Linked DNA regions of Cricetulus griseus. The protein of the gene in region 1 binds, or shares a complex with, the protein of each later gene. Links are inferred from orthologs where the notes say so. Each region holds a gene or a part of one and is shown on either strand. Other genes may lie near its edges.

Region 1 (8,382 bases):
TACCCTTGAATTTGATACATAACTGAGAGAGCCCAGGCTGTTCTTGAACTCTGGATCCTCCTGCCTTCACTTCTCAAGTGCTAGGATTACCAGGAGTCTGCCATTGTGTCTGGTGACTTTTTTTGTGGGGGATGGGAGGGTCCTGGGGATGGACCAGGGACACACACATGCTAAGCAAATGCCCTACCACTGAACTGTAACACCCCCCCCCCTTCTTGGTTTCTTATTTTCTAAACCCAAGTCCTTTCATATGGTAGGCAAGCATTCTATCACCACTCTTCCCTCTTAAACTATGTGTGGATGAGCTGAACTCTGTGGTGAATGCCTTTAATCCCAGCAATTGGGAGGCAGATGTAGGTGGATCTCTTGAGTTCTAGAACAGCCTGATCTCTAGAGGGAGTTCCAGGACAGCCTGAGCGACACAGAGCAAAAAACAAAAAATTATGTGTGCATGTATACCTCTGTGTGGTTACATGTACATTTGAGCATAGTAGTCCAGAAGAGGTCATCAGATCCCCAAGAACTGGAGTTAACAGCCTGTGAGGGTGCTGGGAATCAAACTCTGGCACTCTGCAAGAGCAGGAAGTGCTCTTAACCACTGAACCATCTTTTCAGACACTTCTGGAGGATTTTTTTTTTTTTTTTTTTTTTTTTTTTTTTTTTTTTTTTTGCGACAGGGTTTCACCAAATTGCCCAGGCTTGCTTTGAACTCATTTTGTAGCCCTTAAATTTGTGATCCTCCAGCTTCAACTTGCTGAGTAGCTGGGATCACAGGCCTGTGCCAACATGACTACATTTTTAAATGCCCCTTATTGTAAAGACACTTTTACGTCTGTGGCATGCTCCATTCTTTAGCTTGGCATTTTATCATTGAGAAGGGCTTGGTGTTATCTTGGGGAATTAATTATGCATTTAAACTGGAAGCCACTGGATCCTGGTGGTTGCTTCCAGACTGCTATGCACAACTTCCCGTTAAAGAATTGGGGATTAAAACTGAGATTTGGATGGTTGGCGCAAGATTTAGGCGCCTCTGTCCAAGAAAGCAGGAAGAATGCGTTTTGCAAGTAGCACATAGTGTGGATTTCTGGGAAAGAAGAAAATGGTGGGAGATGCCTTTAAAATGGTTGCTTGCATGCATGATTCCCTAGATATCCACTGCCCTCAAACCCATCCATAGCGCGAGGAGAGGGCAGATCCACCCTTGGAGAGGGCAAGTAATGCCCCAACCCAGGCCTCTTGCAATGCAACCTCTAGATGCAAACTAGCTCCAACACAGGAGACGTTACCGGAGAGAAACTCTCCATCTCCCTTCTCGTGTTCAAAAGGAAGCACCACGTTCAGAAGGCCTGGCTTGGCCCAGCTCAGCTTCCGTAGCTCCTAGCGCTGGAGCGATTTTGTCGTAAAACCGCGCGAGATTTCCGGGTCTCCACCCTTTTCCCATCATCCCCTTGCTCGCTCTCTGAGTTTTAGTTTGGTCGGGGGTCTTGTTTGTGCTTGGGAGCCGAGCTTCGGGGTGACTCCTGCGCGCGCCACCCCCCCTAACCCTCGGCAGTCCCGCTGCGGTCTCTCGTCGGCCTCCGGGCTGAGAATTCCCCCGTCCGCCTTCAAACCCTCCTTGCGGTTCGTCGGCGCGCGTTCCGGTCCGCCCGGAAAACCAGCCCGCCGGCGGCGCGCGCTGCCAACGGCCCGACCTCGGCCAGGTGGGGGAGGGGAAGGAAAGGCCCGGGCGGCGGGATCGGAAGGAGACGGTGCCCGGGGGCTTCGGGGAGCACAAGGGGGACCCCTGGGGAAGTGAAGCTGTCGGAGCGATCGCCCTGCCCGGGATGGCAGGCCGGCCTCGGCGGGAGGGAGGCGGGCGCTCTGCCCCCGGGGGACTGCCCCTCCGCTGGTCCTTGTTCATCATCACCATGTCCGCCCGCCGCCGGGCCCCAGGCCTCCTCTGACAGCACGATGGGCGACAGCGACGACGAGTACGATCGAAGACGCAGGGACAAATTTCGAAGAGAGCGCAGCGACTATGACCGTTCCCGGGAGAGAGATGAAAGACGCCGAGGGGACGATTGGAATGACCGGTGAGACGTATTAACGTACTTTGTTTTCCCTTCACAACCGGTCCACGCCGAGGTTTTATTCCGTCCCATCTTGTCTGCGTTGCTTTTTTTCCCTTTACAAAATTTTGTTAGGATGTAATCCACTGTTGGACCGTTTTCTGTGATTCAATACATTCACTGTTGTCTTAGATTTTTGAAAGGCCTTTAAGATCAAAGCTACAGCCAGAAGTAGAGGTGGACAGGAGCCCTACCCAGCTACTTGGACCACTTCGTCTTCCATGCAGGTCTAGGTCACATAGGAAGACTACCCATCTCAAACCCAAATGAGGCGGAACAGACAGGTCTACGTGTTTGAGCCAAGAGTCTGAGTGGGAAAAATCAGTCTTTCTTTGAAATGCATCAGGAGTTTTCCTTCCTCCCTTCCTTCTATTGGAAAGATGGGGTTTCTTATAGCCAGTTGGCCTGGAACTTGCTGGGTAGCTGAGGATGACATTAACAACATTCTAAACCCCTCCACCCCCCCCCAGATTTCAGGCATGCACCACCAGATCCCTGTTTAAACCGTGCTAGGGATGGAGCCCAGGACTTTGTAGTTGCTAGGCAAGCCCTCAGCTGAGCATGTCCTAGTTCCAGGGAGTGCTTGTGCATTTTATTACTTGTAAATTGCATTATTTATTTTTTGAGGCAGGGTCTCTCCGTAGTCCTGGCTGTCCTGGAATTCAATACTATGTAGACCAGTCAGACCCTTAAACACACCGAGATCTGTTTGCCTCTGCTTTCCCAGTACTAGGATTAAAGGTGGCAAGAATTATTATTACTAGTTAGTTTATTTATTTACCTTTGACTTTTTTGAGGCAGGGTTTCTCTGTGTAGCTTTGGAGCCTGTCATGGAACTAGCTCTGTAGACCAGGCTGGCCTTGAACTTATTACAGAGATCATCCGATAAAAGGTGTGTGTCACCACCGCCTGGCTAAGATTTTTTTTTTTTTAAGTTTGTTGAGTGTTTTGTCTACATGTATTTATGCTGTGCCTGATTCCTGTAAGAACAGAGTTGTATCCCTGGAACTGGAATTGAGAGATAGTTGTGAGCTAACAGGTGGTTCCTAGGAACTGAGCCTCAGTCCACTGAACTGCTGAGAGCCATCTCTCTACCCCACCCCTGCACTTTATTGTTTTTCAGACTGGGTCTTATGTACTATTTACTGGCCTGGAGTGTGATCCTCCTGCCTCAGCTCTTCAGTGCTTGAGTTAGAAGTGAGGCAGCATACTTAACTCTCTGGTGCTTCTTAAATAAGAAACTCAAGGTTGCTTTCTGAGTCTGAAACTAGATGAAGTTCTTCAGAGTTCAAAAGTGTCAGGTCAAAGTGGCTTTCAGTACATGCCACAGACAGACCAGAGTGGGAGGTCATTGCAAAGACACTTAAGTTCTGAGGAACAGATGATGTTCAAGACACAGGTGTAGTGTTGGGGAGAGCCTTAGGAAAGGGACACATAGCTGGGTTTCTAGGTAATTCCCTAGAAACAGCTTGAGGTCAACAGGTTGAGACAAGGACACATACTCTTAGTTGGTGTAGTGGTTCTCAAACTGTATTGCTGCCTTTGTTAGTGGCACTGCAGGAATGCTAGTTAAAGCCCGGAGCCTTAGCACAAAGATCATGAAAAGGATGCCCGCTTGAAGAACACCAGTTAGTGTCCCTAAGTAGAGTGTGTGTCTCTGTGTCTGGTTTGGTTTTCAGGATGAGTGTTGGATTAGAAGTACACATAATAGAGCACTGTGTTAGGTGTAGGACAGTTGCTGCCTTCAGCAAGAGCAGTTGTGTGATTGGTTGGGGAGCCTGAAGGTTTCCCAGAGGTGCCATTTTTTTTTTTTTTTTATTTGAGCAGTATCAACACTGGGGTTTCACAAGTAGTGTTAAGCAGACTTGTGCAGGAGAGTAAGCTAAGAGAAATTGTTACTTAGAAGAAATCTGTTATAGTATTTGTTGCTAATGAACTTGCTGGTAGAAACAAAGTTGGAAAATTTGTATCTACCAGTATGAGCTTGACAATGTCCTATTGTGTAGACTTTTCTGAGATAAGCAGTCTTTATGAAGTGTCTTTTTTGTTTGTTTTTTGAGACAGGGTTTCTCTGTGTAGTCCTGGCTGTCCTGGAACTTGCTCTGTAGACCAGGCTGGCTTTGGAACTCACAGATCCACCTGCCTCTGCCTCCTGAGTGCTGGATTAAAGGAGTGTGCCACCACACCCTGTGAAATGTATCTTGATACTATATATTGGGAAATGTCAGGAGCTGCTCAAAGGGCTGGTAGCACAATGAGTAAAAAACTTTGTTTTGAGACAGGGTCTTTTTTTAATTTAAATTCTTTAATACTCATTTACATATCCACCCCCCCCATTCCCTCACCCTCCCATCCTGCCATGTACCCTACCAACCCTCCCAACTCCTCCCCAGGGATAGTGAGGCCCTCCACCTGGGACCTTCAAAGTCTGTCATATCATTTGGAGGATGGCCTAGGCCCTCCTTGCTGTATCTGGGCTGCAGTAGTATCCCTCCATAGGGAATGGACTCCCAAAGTCCATTTGTGCTCTAGGGATAAACACTGGCTCCACTGTTAGAGGTCCCATAGACTGCCCAAGCCTCCTAGCTGGTACCCACATTGAGAGAGCTTGGTTCGGTCCAATGCTGTTTACCAAGCACTAGGGTCTCCGTGCTCTCACTAGGTCAGGTCCACTGTTTTTACGGGTTTCTCCAGCCCCATCTTGGCTCCTTTGCTCATCCCTCCTCCCTGTCCACAGCTGGATTCTGTGAGTATGGTTCAGTGGTGAGCTGTTTGTGCCTGTTTCTGCTTCGAACAGCTACTGGATGAGGCTCTCAGGCGGCAGGCAGAGGGCAGAGACGACACAGGGTCTTAGTTTGATCTCATATTTACTATGTAGCTGCCTCCATTTTCCAAGTGCTAGAGTTATACCTTGCCTGCTTCAACTTACTGTTAAACTGCCTCTTTGCAGGAGTAGAAGCTCACACCTGTAATCTGCACTCCTGGGGTAAGGAAGAGACAATTCTCGTCTAAGTAGGGAGTTCCAGGCCAGCCACAACTACAGACTTTGAGATCCTGTCTCAAAAGCCAAAAAGGGGACTGGGCAAGGTGGCTCACACCTATAGTTAATCCCAGGAGGCAGGGGCTGGAGAATGTCTGAGTTTGAAGCCAGCCTGATCTATGCAGTGAGTTCTTGAACAGCTAGGGCTATATAGACCCCAAATTAACAACCCTCCCTTCCTAAAAAGAAAGATAGAAAGAAAGAAAGGAAGGAACCTATCTAGCTGGCCCAGCTGCTTGAGAGGCTGAGACAGGAGGATTGCTAGAGTTCAAGAGTTTGAGAGCTCTGCCAGCATAACAGGATTCTGTTAACTTTTTTCAGGAGCCAGAAAACATAGCCCAAATGATCTGAAAAAGCCATTTAAGTCTTCCCTTTTATGGAACTGTGTATGGGTGGACAAGGTTGTCTTTCTTCCACCTTATCCCTGTGGAAGCTCTTTTAAACCACACGGTGATGAGGACAGTGCTCCTCCTTATACTAACTTTGAGTGATAGAAGCTTATAGTCCTCTTCCTGAACCTGAGGCAGGAGGCTCTCGAGTTCAAGTACTGCCTGGTGTGCAGAGTGAGTTCAGGGGCAGGACTGGGGACACACTCTAGTTCAGTGCAGAGACACATTCAGGAAGCACTAGATTCAGTTTCTATGCCCCCAAAGTAATATATATTAATATGTAGTTTCAAGGTTCATGAAGCTTTATGGTAGGTGTAGTGGTGTGTGCACTTGGGATGTGAAAGTAAGAGATAGGTTCAGAGTGATGCGCTTTGGTTACATAGGGTGTTCAAGACCAGCCTGTGTGTGAACCACCACAGCTGTCAAGCTATTGGGTGTTTTGTTTGCTTGTGTGTCGTGCTTTGCTAGAGAATGGAAGCCAAGGCCTGTGTTTCCACCACTGCATCCACACCTCCATCTTAGCCACTGTCTTTCCTATTCCAGAGAGTGGGACCGTGGCCGGGAGCGCCGCAGTCGGGGTGAATATCGAGACTATGACCGGAATCGAAGGGAACGTTTCTCCCCCCCTCGCCACGAACTTAGCCCCCCACAAAAGCGCATGCGGAGAGACTGGTAAGGTGGCTTCACTTTTCTTTTTTTACCCTCAGATCCCTTGGGCCTCAGCCCTCCTCTCCTGCTTCCTTGTCTCAGTCATCCCACGCACCCAGCTTTCCTTTGTCCCTTTTATCCCTTGAGTGAGAGACTACATCCTACATGTGCCCTCCTCTTGTCCCTGTCCATGTTCTGGAGAGGTGGCTCTGCTTCTTTGTGTGTCTGACTTTTGTGTCCCCCCCTCCTCAGGGATGAGCACAGTTCTGACCCATACCACAGTGGCTATGACATGCCCTATGCTGGGGGGGGTGGGGGACCAACTTATGGCCCCCCTCAGCCCTGGGGCCACCCAGACGTCCACATCATGCAGCACCATGTCCTGCCTATCCAGGCCAGGTAAAGCCTGGGGTCCTGGGGAGAAGGGAATTTCCAGAAGGGAATTGTTTGGGGCTGCTGGAGACTATGGTTGGAATCTGGGAGAGGGCTAGGTTCTGGGGTGCCTGTGAGGTGTAGCACTTACTGCTTGGGGTAGTGGGTATTTGGACAAAGAATGGGGTGTCTGACTACCTAGGCTCTACCTCTCCCTCACAACCAAGCCTTCTTGTTTGGACGCCCCCTCCCCCAGGCTGGGCAGCATTGCAGAGATTGACTTGGGTGTGCCACCACCTGTAATGAAGTCCTTCAAAGAATTCCTCCTGTCCCTGGATGACTCTGTGGATGAGACTGAGGCAGTCAAACGCTACAATGACTACAAGCTCGACTTCCGAAGGCAGCAGATGCAGGACTTTTTCCTGGCTCATAAAGATGAGGAGTGGTGAGTGCCCCTCTTGCCTGCCCCATTTCTCTGGCCTGGCCAGGGGAGCTGCAGCCTTGTCCTCCTCCAGTTCTCCCCAACATGGCACTTCCTGGGAGTGGGGAAGGGGAGGGAAACTGTTGGCTGGTGGGACCCCCCCCCCCCATTTCCCTTCTCTGCTGTCCTCACTGGGACACCTCCAGGCAGCTGACCAGAGCTACTTAGCCTCTTGGGGCAGCACAAAGACTGCGACCCTCTTGTCAGTTTGGGTCATTGTCATCCCCAACCACCTGTGTGGCAGTGGTCTCCCAAAGGCAACGAGTGAAGCCAGACAAGAACAGCCAAGATCTCAGGGTCGTTTGACAGAGAAAAGAATTTGAATTTTTTTTCCTTATGTGGATGTTTTAATTTTAATCAACCATCTTTTCCCCCCTCCTGCTCCTCCTCCTCATCCTCTTTCTGCTCCTCCTCCTTGAAAAGAGCCAGAACTGGGAACTACACCCGCTCATCGTCGGAGCTCGGAGCAAACCCACCTCCACCCCCACCATACCCAGCCCATACATGAGCCCCTGGGCAGAGCCGCGGGGCCCGGCCAGGCAGACAGGCAGGGCACCGCTGTGCACAATGCAGTGGTCTAGCTGAATGTATTGCTTAGGCAGCTAGTCAGTCAGGGCCCCCACCGCGGAGGCCCGCGGGGGCGGGGCATCTAGGCCGGTCACCCCAGCCAGGAGCCAGCGGGCAGCCCGCCAGCCAGCATGGGCCCTGGGCGCCGCTAGTTAAATCTTGAGCTCTGTTTGACCAAGCAGCCAAGGTAAAGACCCTGGAGGTGACGCCTGCGGCTTTCCTCTCTGCTCAGCCTGTCTGTCCTGTCCTTGTGTGCCCCTTCTGACTGCCCTGTGTGTCTTTGATGGCTCATGAACCAACCTTTCTTCCTTTCTTTCTCTTTCTTTCTTTCTTTCTTTCTTTCTTTCTTTCTTTCTTTCTTTCTTTCTGTCCACGCTCTTGCTCTCTGCTGAACACTTCTTGTGTTAGTTTTCTCACCTTGTCTGTCTGTGTTTTAGATTTCTGGGCCCTCCTTACATTTCCTCCATACCCCTTTTCTCTTTCTCACACCCCTAATTTCTTCTGCCTTGCTTTTCCTCCCCTACCCTCAGAGGCCTGTTAAAATGTTTTCCTTTTCATACTCTACCCAAGTCCTAAACCTCTAGCCCTCTCTTCTCTCCCATGGGCCTGTCTGAGGCTGTGCGGGCACTTGGCCTTACCCTTTGCTCTTTCCTGTCCCTTCACTGCCTTATCATCCCACTAGGGAAGAAAGGTGTCCTGCCTTTGGCCTTTTCTATCTGGTACACTTCAGGTTTCCTTCTGGCTCCACCTGGGGTGGAGGGAGTTGGTGGGAACCTC
Region 2 (10,531 bases), about 59 Mb from region 1:
TCTTGTGATTACAAGTAAACTTCTGTTTAGCTTTCAAGTCCTAGATTGCAGAATATTTTGTCTGGATGTTTGGGGTAATGCTTTATTGTCACTGGCTTGGCACTGAACTGTTGATGCTCATAAAGTAGGCAGACTTTATGTCACTGGGATGAATGTAAACCCTGCAAAAACTTAAAGCTATTCATATATGACGAGCCTTCAATAAGCTGCCCAGTCCTCATGGCAAAACTTACCTGGCTGTAGTTGCTTCTTTCCAGTGCTTTTGTTAAATTTCTTGTAGTGAATATATATTAATTCATCTTTTAATTTTCTTAGTTATCATGAGAATTAACTTTCAGTTGGCTGCTCAAGGAAAAGAAAAGCAGTTGCTGCCAATAATTTCACAGTGCATTTTTGGCTTTGCACTGTATTCTCTGTTTACCACTGAATATGAATAACATGGTCATCTTGAATTTATGGTTGAAATACAACAGTAACAGACCTAACTGGGGACACAGCCAGCACTTGCCTAATATCAGTTGTCCCTTTTCTTTGCAATTGTGGTTCAGTGCTTCATCCCTGCAGTAGAAGCAATTGGGGTCTGAGCAGGTCAGGGCCAGAAACAGTGAGTTAATACACTGATTATCTGCTCTGCTTCGTTATGTTAAGAGACCCAATTAGTCAGCAGTTATACAGCATATACTTCTGCTGTATGCTAGGCTCTGCCTCCTGGCTGGTAGACATCTAAGATCTGGGGAATAGCATCCAAGAAATGCAATTGTATTTGGGGTTACAAAAGCAGACCTAGACAAGTTGTTCACTTGAAAGATTATGATCATGTAAAATTACAGTCAGTACTCAACCCTTCTAGCAAATATTTTTTTGAAAAATAAACTAAATGCCTTTATAAACATGTGTTCTCTTGTGTTGAATAATATATCTAGTGGATAGTATTTTTTTAGTGCCATTCCAGTGGTAACGGCTCACTGAAGAACAGTGACCACTGTAAGCCCTACCTAGCTCTATCTATTGAGCTGTACACAGCAATAGAAACCCTAACTAAGACAAGGAGTATAATGAAAAAGGACTGTCAAAATTAGCATCCTCAAGCCCAAGAAACATCCTAATTCAGCCCCATTTTCTTCCTGCCCCATCATCTAGAGTACAAGTCTTCTGGAAAACTCGCCTCTTTCTGCCTTCCTCCTTTAGTAGTTGCTTGGTGCATCTTTTGTTTTCACAGAGGTGGGTCACCCAGGCTTCCTTTTCATGTACTGCCATAGTATATTGAACTGAAATGGACATACAAATTCTGTACATTCATTATTCAGACTCTCACAGGATACCAGGGCACCAAAACATGTCCTCCTTTATAGGCAAGGAAATATACACAGAATACATTGGTCTAAATTTATTGATACTTGTTACAGAAGACAAAATTACCAATGTTTTGGGTCATAAGATTATAGAAATCTGAATTATAGTTTACTACAAAAGAATATAAGATAAACAGTTCAAACTGCAGTATAAAAAGCCTTATTTTAAAACTCAAGTCTCCTCATTAAGTATTTGTAAATGGGCTTCCTAAGTTGTTACAGCTCCAAGAAAACCACACTTATTGCAACTTTGAAGATGTTCTGTCCCACCCTTGAAAAACTCATGAGAATTAGAAGGTAACAGATGAAAAAATTTGTCTTTTTTTGAATCATGAAAAATTACTCATATGTAATATTAGGACAGAATGCAAAATTCTCTAGACTCTTCTGTAGAGCCCTTCAGCTTACTATCACTGCACGGACCTCAGCAAGCACAGTTGGAGGGAAAAAGGAAACAGACTAAGGGGTGTGTTAGTTACCACAGACATTCCCTCGAGGAGGGTTTCTGTTGTTAAAGACTCCCAGTCTTCAAATTCTTATTGTTCAGGCAGTCCTGGGGAATAAACCCACGACCACTCACATAAGTGCCTACCCACTGTGCCCTGTATCTCCCCCTGCCCCTTTTCTGTTTCTGTTTTGAGACAGACTCAAAAGGTGCCCAGGGTGGCCTTGAACTTTTGATTCTCTTGCTTCAGCCTCCCAAGTAGCCAGGATTATAGGCCTGGCTGAAGCCCTTTTAAAAAGCCCATTCTATTCCAAGGTCATTTTGAAAGTGGGAAGAAATAATCTAATGGCCCCAATTGAAGCTTCCATGTCAAGGCAGTGTCTGAACTTAGATTCTATTCTCTACTGACAATGTCTTCCCCTACTTTGGATAGCAGAGGCTCTTTGTATAAAGTAGTCCTTGGGTTTTTTTGGTTTTTTTTTTTGAGACAGGGTTTCTCTGTAGCTTTGGAGTCTGTCCTAGAACTCACTCTATAGACCAGACTGGGCTCGAACTCACAGAGATTCACCTGCCTCTGCCTCCCAAGTGCTGGGATTAAAGGCGTTTTGTTTTAAACTGCCAGTGAAACATTTGTATCTTTTGAGGGATATGTTTAGTGAACACTCTTCAAGTACTGACTGATAGTGTCCTGAAGTATAAATAAGCACAGAAGCAGGGAGCATCCCAGGCCCAGTGAAGGCTGACTTCTGTACCAACTATATTGAAATATAAAAAGCAAACCCCTGTTCCTAATTTAGAGCAAAGCTACAGACTATAGCAAAACCTCAGTAATACATATGCAGACTTACAATATAAAAAAAATCATTTCTGTCCCCATGAAGATTACCAGACTGCTTGTAAAGTCAATCCTTACATTTTCCAGTCTCCCTAAAAGAAGTGTCCCATTCAGCTGACAGTTTAATTGACACATATTCTGCTGCCCAGGAATACAGTTTTTGACCTAGTAACAGAAAATCAACCTAATAAGACTAGAATTAAAGGCATTCTTTTGGATTCTGTCTTTTAATATTTCAGAGGAAAACCAGAAGTGGCTTCCAGTGCAACAGAGATACTATACTGATCAGACCTTGGGTAATGTTCTCCAACATCATCAACAGAGTGAGCTGTGTACTTGGGGCTTTCACCACTCACTGTTTTTGTGCCAGTTTGCCATAGCCGCCTCTCCCAGCATCGTAGTCCTCCCGATACTCATCTCGAACCTTAATTGGGAAAAAAACCAAAAAACACAGCTCCTTGGAATGTTGATGCAACAAACAATCATGCCAGATATAGCTAAATCTTTTCCGGTGTCCATGTACAAGCAGGACGTAAAAATTAAATTCATTTCAATGCATTTCACTTTTGTTCTAGGCACTGTTGCAGGGGTAAGACCCCTATTATGAGTTCAGTAACACTTAATATTTTAAAGTCTAGAATTTCCTTATCAATGGCCCTGGTGTTCACCCATCTGTGATTTCAACATTCAGGAAGCAGAGGCAGGAGGATCTCAAGTTTGATAACCAGTTGGCTACATGGCAAGATCTTGTCTTAGGAAACCACCCCTCCAAACCCATCAACACTAACAAGCACAGGTTCATAAAGGATGACCACAAACTGACAAAACATCTCTTCATAACTGGAACCCCAGGCAGACCAGCTCTGATGCCCTTGGAGCATACCTGACCCCCAGACCGTCCACGTCCATACTGCCTGCCCTCCTTAAAGCCTGCATCCCAGTCTGTGCGTATGATCCGGTCATCCAGACGAGTTCCATTTATGTACCGCATGGCATTCTCTGCATCTGCTCTCGAATAGTATCTTAAGTGTTAAGTATTAAGGAACACCAGCATTTCTTCAAGCAAGAGACAGGAAGCAACACACCTACATGATGCAAGTTACTAAAAAAAATGTTTAAAGTAGAAAAGCTAGCCCAACCAGACTAATTACAAAGATACTCATTTTGTAAAAGCCAGTTCAAAGTTGGTCCAACAGCACTTAGGGACATGTAAAGGATAGGTAAAAATGACATTTGTCCTGTGTCAGTCATGATTTCCTATATATATATATATATATCTGCTAATAATTATTTGGTCCATGTTTTGATTTGCAAATAGAAAAATATGGTCAATGTGATATTGGACCACAAACTTCTTATGCAAGAACAGTGAAAAAGTTGAACATAACAATTCATGTCCATAATCCTAGCACTCAAAAGGCCGGAAGCAGGGAGATTACTGGGTTTGAGGCCAGCCTGGACTACATACCAAGATTCTGTCTCAAAACAAAAACAATGTCAAAAGTGGGGAGGGGCTAAGATATGGCTCAGTGGTTAAGAGCACTTTCTCTTTGAGAGGCCCTGGGCTCGAGACCCAGAACGTATATGGTGGTTCACAACCTTAACTCTAGTTCTCAGATCTGATGCTGCCTTATGATCTCAGAGGGTGGGTACCACGTGGTGCACAGACATATGTACAGGCAAAGCACTCACACATTAAAAAAAACAAAAAAAACAAAATGAATATAAAGATTTTAAAAACCACCACAAAAGGAAAATCTTATTCATATACATACATAAATATATGTATATTACAGGCATGCTTATACACATAAATAAAAAATCCTAATTATAGGGAAACTTCTGGTGAAATTTCAGCATCTGACACCTAGACAATGCCTAGCAAGCAGTGGGCATTTAATGACTTCTGTTTCATGAAAGCTTGACAAAGAGCAAAACCAATGAGCAACAGCAGGCTTACTTCTGTACACTTATCATGAATGTTGATCTGTGGCTTGCAAGGCAAATGTAAACACTGGTTCTTAAGGGCCATTTTATATTCTCCCCTGTTGTCCCTGTGAGCTCTTTGATGCTATTGCTGGTAGGGTACAAAACTTTGGAAATCTGGTTGGCCCTTTATGCTTAGGGAAAGAAAGAAGTGTGTTTGACTACAAAATCATACACCAAAAACTGTGGTGATTTGAGCCTTTATGCTCAGCTGCCTGGGGGCTTTAGCTCAGGAATGGAGCTAATCTAAACAACAAGATTTTTTTTCTCCCTGAGACAGGGTCCAGGTCTGTGTAGCTCAGGCTGTCCTGGAACTCTTTGTAGACCCGACTGAGCTCAAACTCACAGAGATCCCCTGACTCTGCCTTGAGTGCTGGGATTAAAGGTGTGTATCACCATACCTGGCTAAAACTCTTTTTCGAGACAAGGTCTCTCTGTAGGCCTCACTGTCTAGGAACTCACTAGGTAGACCAGGTTGTCCTCAAACCCAGATATCCACCTGCCTCTGCCTCCCAGGTGCTAGGATTAGACACCTTTTCTTAAAGATTCATCTGTGAACAAAATTTCTGAATGGAATGTAGTATCAGTTTTGCAATTTACAGAGTATGACTCAGAGGAAGAACTGAGAGAAAAGGATAGGGATTATAGTAAGTTAGTGCCTTAAAAAACCAAGTGGGGTATAGTGGCACACACCTTGAATCCTAACACCAGGAGGCAGACAGCTAGATGGCCAGAGTTCCAGATTAGCCAGGGCCATATTAAAAAAAAAAAGAAAAAAGAAAAGAGGCAGGTACTCGCGCTCTTGCTCCGTCCTGGTTCAATGGTTCCATTAGATGCCCAAGAAGGATACTCCACAAAACAGAATCCACACGCCGTTTTCTTCATTTTATCCAGACCCATGATGATCTTCTTTATATCACCACTCTTGCTGAAGAGTTCATAAATCTGTTCTTCAGTTGTATAAAAGGAAAGATTTCCAACATATAATGTACAGCTTTTCTTCAGTAATTTTTCTTGTTCTTCATTGTCACCCTAGAGTTTCAAATAGAGACGAAATTAAACATTACAACCTAAAAAGAGATTTGTTTAGGGCTATAGAATGCTTAGTCAGGAGAAGCACTAGCTGTGCAAGCCTGACAACTTGAGTTTGATCCCTGGAAGCCCAGTGAAGAGCTGGATGTGGTGGCATGCACCTGTAATCCCAGCACTCCTACAGAACATGGGACCGGAATAGAGAATCTCCTTGAAGCTTGAGGCCAGCCCAGTCTGGAGTAGACAGTGCAGAGCAGAAACAAGAGTGAATCCTCCATAAGCATTACACATATATAAAATGAACAGACTTGAAAACTAAAATTACAGAGCCTTGGTTAAAGTCATATTTCCAAGTATAATAAAGATGCCCATTCTGATCTGGAAATTAAAGGCTCTCATCTTCTGATCCCTAGCACATACTCTTCCTTGCCCTAAGAGGTGGTTGTGGGGTGAATGCAGAGATGGCTTATAGGTTAAGAGTACTGACTATTCAAAGTGTGAATTTGTTTTGGGGCATTGGAAATTGAACCCAAGATATTACATATTAGGTAAGAACCCTACCAGTCTGGAAGTATTCCCATTCTAAAATACTAGTGTAAGGTTCAGCCTGCTTTTAGTGGAGAAACAAAGCACATATCCTCCTATATCATACTGCCATAAGAGTGGCATGCCTTTTTCTTGCATAGTTCATTGCCCTCAGCACTGGATCCTTCTCTAATGGCCAAGTTCAAATTCTACACCTTGACAGAACATATCAGAAAGGCCTTTTACCCTTTATAATAAAAGTAAGTCTTGTCAGTACTCCCCTAAAGCCTGTTCATAGCAAAAACTGCTAGGTGATTTGCATGGTTATGTTTTTGTGCATGTAAGAGGTTAGTGACCACTAAGAGGATTTTTTTTTTCTTTTCTTTCTTTTTTAAAATGTGGTCTCTCTCTGTAGCTTTGGCTAATGTAGAGCTCAGAGACTTGCCTGTTTTAAGGCTCCTAGTGCTGAGATTAAAGGTGTGCACCACCACTGTCTGGCAAGACTTTCTTTAAAAGACAGGATGAAGCCAGAGAGAGTGAGAGAGAGCGAGCGAGCGAGAGAGAGAGAGAAAGAGAGAGAGAGAGAGAGAGAGAGAGAGAGAGAGAGAGAGAGAGAGAGAGAGAGACACGTGCTAAAGATGGGAGTTTAAGCGAGCTTCAACCAACATAAAGCAGTCCCCAGGTATAAGATGGTTCATTGGGTCTTAGATGTGGTATTTGATTATTTGTGGTGATGGGGAATAAACTCAAGGTTTCACGTTAGCATGCTGAGCAACACCCCCAGCTCCAGGTTTGTTTCTTATCTCTGGGACCTTACATTATAGTCTAGACTAGTCTTGAGCTTTGAACACCCTGCTTCAGCCTCCTGAAAGCTGTGATTATACACATGAGCCACCACACTCAGCTAGCATGGTGTTTATCAGAAGAAAAGGGGGGGGGGAGTTATCCCTGGGCTTTCTAGCATTCCCACTGGAAAGGACACAAATGCACAGATGTGACTAAACAGATATACCAACTGACCAGACATTTTTTAGTCCAGACAACCATATGATAGAATCCAGTCTGGAGGAGCTGATAAGACTTAAGTTCAGGGAATTCACTCTAGAACTCTCCAGTTTTCATCTAGTATTCCTTAAGTAATGTTGATCCAGTTCCCTTTTTTTCTGAGAATATGAGTGCACTAATCACCTGCATTCTTTTTATAACAGAGCTCAGGCTAGCAGGTATTTACTTATTATGTATGCAGTGTTCCACCTACATGTGTGCCTGCAGGCCAGAAGAGGGCACCAGATCTCATTACTATGGTTGTGGGCTGCTCTGTGGTTGCTGGGAATTGAACTTGGGACCTTTGGAAGCCAGTGCTCTTAACCACTGAGCCATCTCTCCAGCTCTGCAGTTTTCTTTACTTTTTAAGTTATTGTGCATGCATGCGTGCATGCGTATGCACGCACAGTGTGACAGCCCTTGGAGACCAGAGGCATCAGATTCCCTGAAACTGGCTGTGAGATGATACCTGGTGTGTTAGGGACTGAACTAGAGTCCTCCAGACACCCCCTACCACTTTGTTTTTTTTGGGGGGGGTTTCAAGACAGGGTTTCTCTGTAGGTTTGGAGACTGTCCTGTAACTCTTTGAAGACCAGGCCTGCCTCTGCCTCCTGAGTGCTGGGCTGGGATTACAGGCCTGTGCCACCACCACTCAACTGTCTCCAGATGCTTTTGTTACTGTTTTTTTGAGACAGGGTTTCATGTAGCTTAGGCTGTATTGAACCATTGTAACCAAGGATAACACTGAATTGCTGATCCTCTTGCCTCCACTTTCCTAGTACTGGGCTTATAGGCACTCACCACCACTCCAAGTTTATATACAGCTCAAGATCTACCCAAGAGTTTCATGCATGCATGCTAGGCAAGCATTCTACCTGTTGAGCTAAGTCTACTTAGCCCAATTGTTTTCTGAGATAGCCCAATCTGGCCTCAGACTCCTGAGACTCATGCTACCACCTCCCCCAAATGCTTCAGTAACAGGCATGGGTCATCACACCCATCTCCAAGTTACAGTTTTTGGCTTGGCTTTATTATTATTTTATAGGTATGGGTGTTTTGCGTGTTTGTATGTCTGTGTACCAGATGCATGGCTAGTGCCTTCAGAGACCAGAAGAGGGCACCAGATCCTTTGGAATCAGTTACAGATGGTTGTGAGTCATCATGCCAGGACTGGGAACTAAATCCAGGTCCTCCAGAACAGCTTGTGCTAACCTCTAAGACATCTCTCTAGCTTTCCAAGTTACAGTTTAAAAAACAAAACAAAGTAAAATTCTGGTCTTATCCCCACTACCACATTGCCTTAAGATCACAACAGGACTGAACAGGTGAAGTCTATGGAACAATAGTCATTTGCATTCAAACAAACAGCTGGGTGCCCTGGGCGATGGTGGCACACACCTTTAATCCCAGCACTCGGGAGGCATAGGCAGGCGGATCTCTGTGAGTTCAGGGCCAGCCTGGTCTCCAGAGCAAGTGCCAGGATAGGCTCCAAAGCTACACAGAGAAACCCTGTCTTGAAAAAAACAACCCCAGCTGGGTGGTAGTGGTGGTGTTGCATACCTTTAATACCAGCACCTGGGAGGCTGAGACAGGCAGATCTCTGTGCGTTCAAGGCCAGCCTGGTTTACAGAGGGAGTGCCAGGACAGGCAGGGCTACACAAGAAACCCTGTCTCAAACAAACAAACAAGCCCAAACCAAATAAACCCAAGGTTTTAGAACTTTCGATGATCCATTAGAGAAAATAATCACTTCAACATTTTCTTTTACATGTTCCAGCTGATCTCATGGGATCTTCCTGCCTCAGTCTCCAGAACAACTAGGAATACAGATGTCCACCATCGCACCTGGCTAGCAGATTCACTTTGTACTGCTGTTCGTTTCTCACAAGTAAAATCCAAACAGTTTACAGCTTCAGTGTAACTTAATTTCACACTCAGTACAGCACTGACACTAAAAAATGCACGACAGAAATTATTAATGTCCGAACAGAGCTACAGGCTTTTGACAAAAGAAATAAATGATCCCTCTCCTGGTTTTAACCTTGCAGGATGCTTTAAATTCAAAATCGTTAGTTACTGATGTGGAACTGTTGAAAGTAATGGGAACTGTTAAAAACAAAACAAAACAAAACAAAAACAGCAGTACAAGTGAAACTCATACCAGACACACAGTATACGTTTTCAAATTAAGCTGATTGAGTTTCTTTGTGTTTTTGCTTGTATTTCGAGACAGGGTTTCTCTGTGTAGCCAGTGCCTGCACTGGATTTTGCCATCCAGACAACCTTATTGTGACTCGTGTGGCTTGTCCATGCCCGATGCCCGTCAGACAGCAAAAAACAGGGCTCAACTTTGAGTCTCCTACTATTGCCAACTTTGTAGGACTGTCTTACAAAAACTAAGGACTGTAATACCAGACGGGAATGTCTAGCTGATTATAAAAACAAAAACGGCTATACTGTCTGGGTCAGCCAACGCAGGGATAACTCCTTCATTACAGACACTTTCCCAAGCAAGACAAGCCCATCAAAACAGCCACCACTACCCGAACCTCCCTGCATTGGTGCTGGTACCCGCAGCAGCAGTAAGAAACTGTAAAAGCAAATCCCAGGTTCCCTAGGAGTAAAGTGGCTTCAATGATATCCAAACACCTCTGGGACCCCATTCGCATTTTAGGACCCCAACAAAACAGGAAGGAAGACACAATAAGACGAGTGGAAGACACAGTAAGACAAATGCAAACCGTTTCTCAGTATTCCAGCCCAAAGCCAGCCCCTCTCGTGGCCCGGCCCGCCTCACCCGGAAGTGCTGGTCCCGGTACTCGCTGAGCTCCACGTAGGAGTCACTGCGTAGCGCCTTCAGGAGGCCACCGGACATGGTGCAGACACGAACCACGACGCGGCCACGACTGGAAGGACCAGGCGGCGGTGGCGGCGGAAACGGAAATGCGTGCGTCCTGTTGCAGTAAGCCGACGTGGTCAGGGCCAATCCTGGTGCGGCTGTGTCGTCATCATGCGGCGCCGGCTTGTCCGTCGTCGGGAGTGGCCGGTCGGAAGGTGAGTGAAGGCTCGCCCCGGGTTCCCGGGCGCTCCGAGGACGATGATTTTCCGGCGGCTGCTGGCAGCCCTGCTGCACAACCCGCAGCTGGTGGAGCGGCTGTCCGAGTCACGGCCTATCCGGCGGGCGGCGCAACTCACGGCTTTCGCGCTGCTGCAGCTGCAACTGCGCGGCCACGACGCGGCCCGCCGTCTGCGCGCCCTCGCGGGTCAGCCCCTAGGCTCCTTGGGTCGCCGCGCCACCCGGTTCAAGGACAC

Evidence for each region. The genes of interacting proteins can lie anywhere in the genome.
Region 2: the proteins of Srrt (region 1) and Ncbp2 are in contact, whole or in part, in a cryo-EM structure (PDB 8PMP), measured with the Homo sapiens proteins. The link is inferred for Cricetulus griseus from reciprocal best matches to the Homo sapiens genes SRRT and NCBP2. Residues at the interface, in NP_056992.4 of Homo sapiens: Asp857, Arg859, Ala860, Ile861, Val862, Glu863, Tyr864, Arg865, Ala869, Asp874; in NP_031388.2 of Homo sapiens: Ser48, Phe49, Tyr50, Thr51, Thr52, Glu53, Gln55, Lys67, Met71, Leu73, Met76, Lys77, Lys78, Thr79, Ala80, Tyr89, Asp107, Glu121.

What each region holds. Positions count from the first base shown.
Region 1 is NC_048597.1:116,215,062-116,223,443, reverse strand, and holds the start of Srrt (serrate RNA effector molecule homolog), read left to right. Parts: upstream 1-1,432; 5' UTR 1,433-1,700; intron 1,701-1,932; 5' UTR 1,933-1,950; coding exon 1,951-2,072; intron 2,073-6,080; coding exon 6,081-6,209; intron 6,210-6,437; coding exon 6,438-6,584; intron 6,585-6,813; coding exon 6,814-7,002; intron 7,003-8,382. UniProt on the Homo sapiens protein: Acts as a mediator between the cap-binding complex (CBC) and the primary microRNAs (miRNAs) processing machinery during cell proliferation.
Region 2 is NC_048597.1:57,541,392-57,551,922, forward strand, and holds Ncbp2 (nuclear cap-binding protein subunit 2), read right to left. Parts: upstream 10,172-10,531; 5' UTR 10,095-10,171; coding exon 10,017-10,094; intron 5,651-10,016; coding exon 5,469-5,650; intron 3,655-5,468; coding exon 3,516-3,654; intron 3,057-3,515; coding exon 2,985-3,056; 3' UTR 1,373-2,984; downstream 1-1,372. Other genes in the region: protein NCBP2AS2, read left to right, coding at 10,317-10,531. UniProt on the Homo sapiens protein: Component of the cap-binding complex (CBC), which binds co-transcriptionally to the 5' cap of pre-mRNAs and is involved in various processes such as pre-mRNA splicing, translation regulation, nonsense-mediated mRNA decay, RNA-mediated gene silencing (RNAi) by microRNAs (miRNAs) and mRNA export.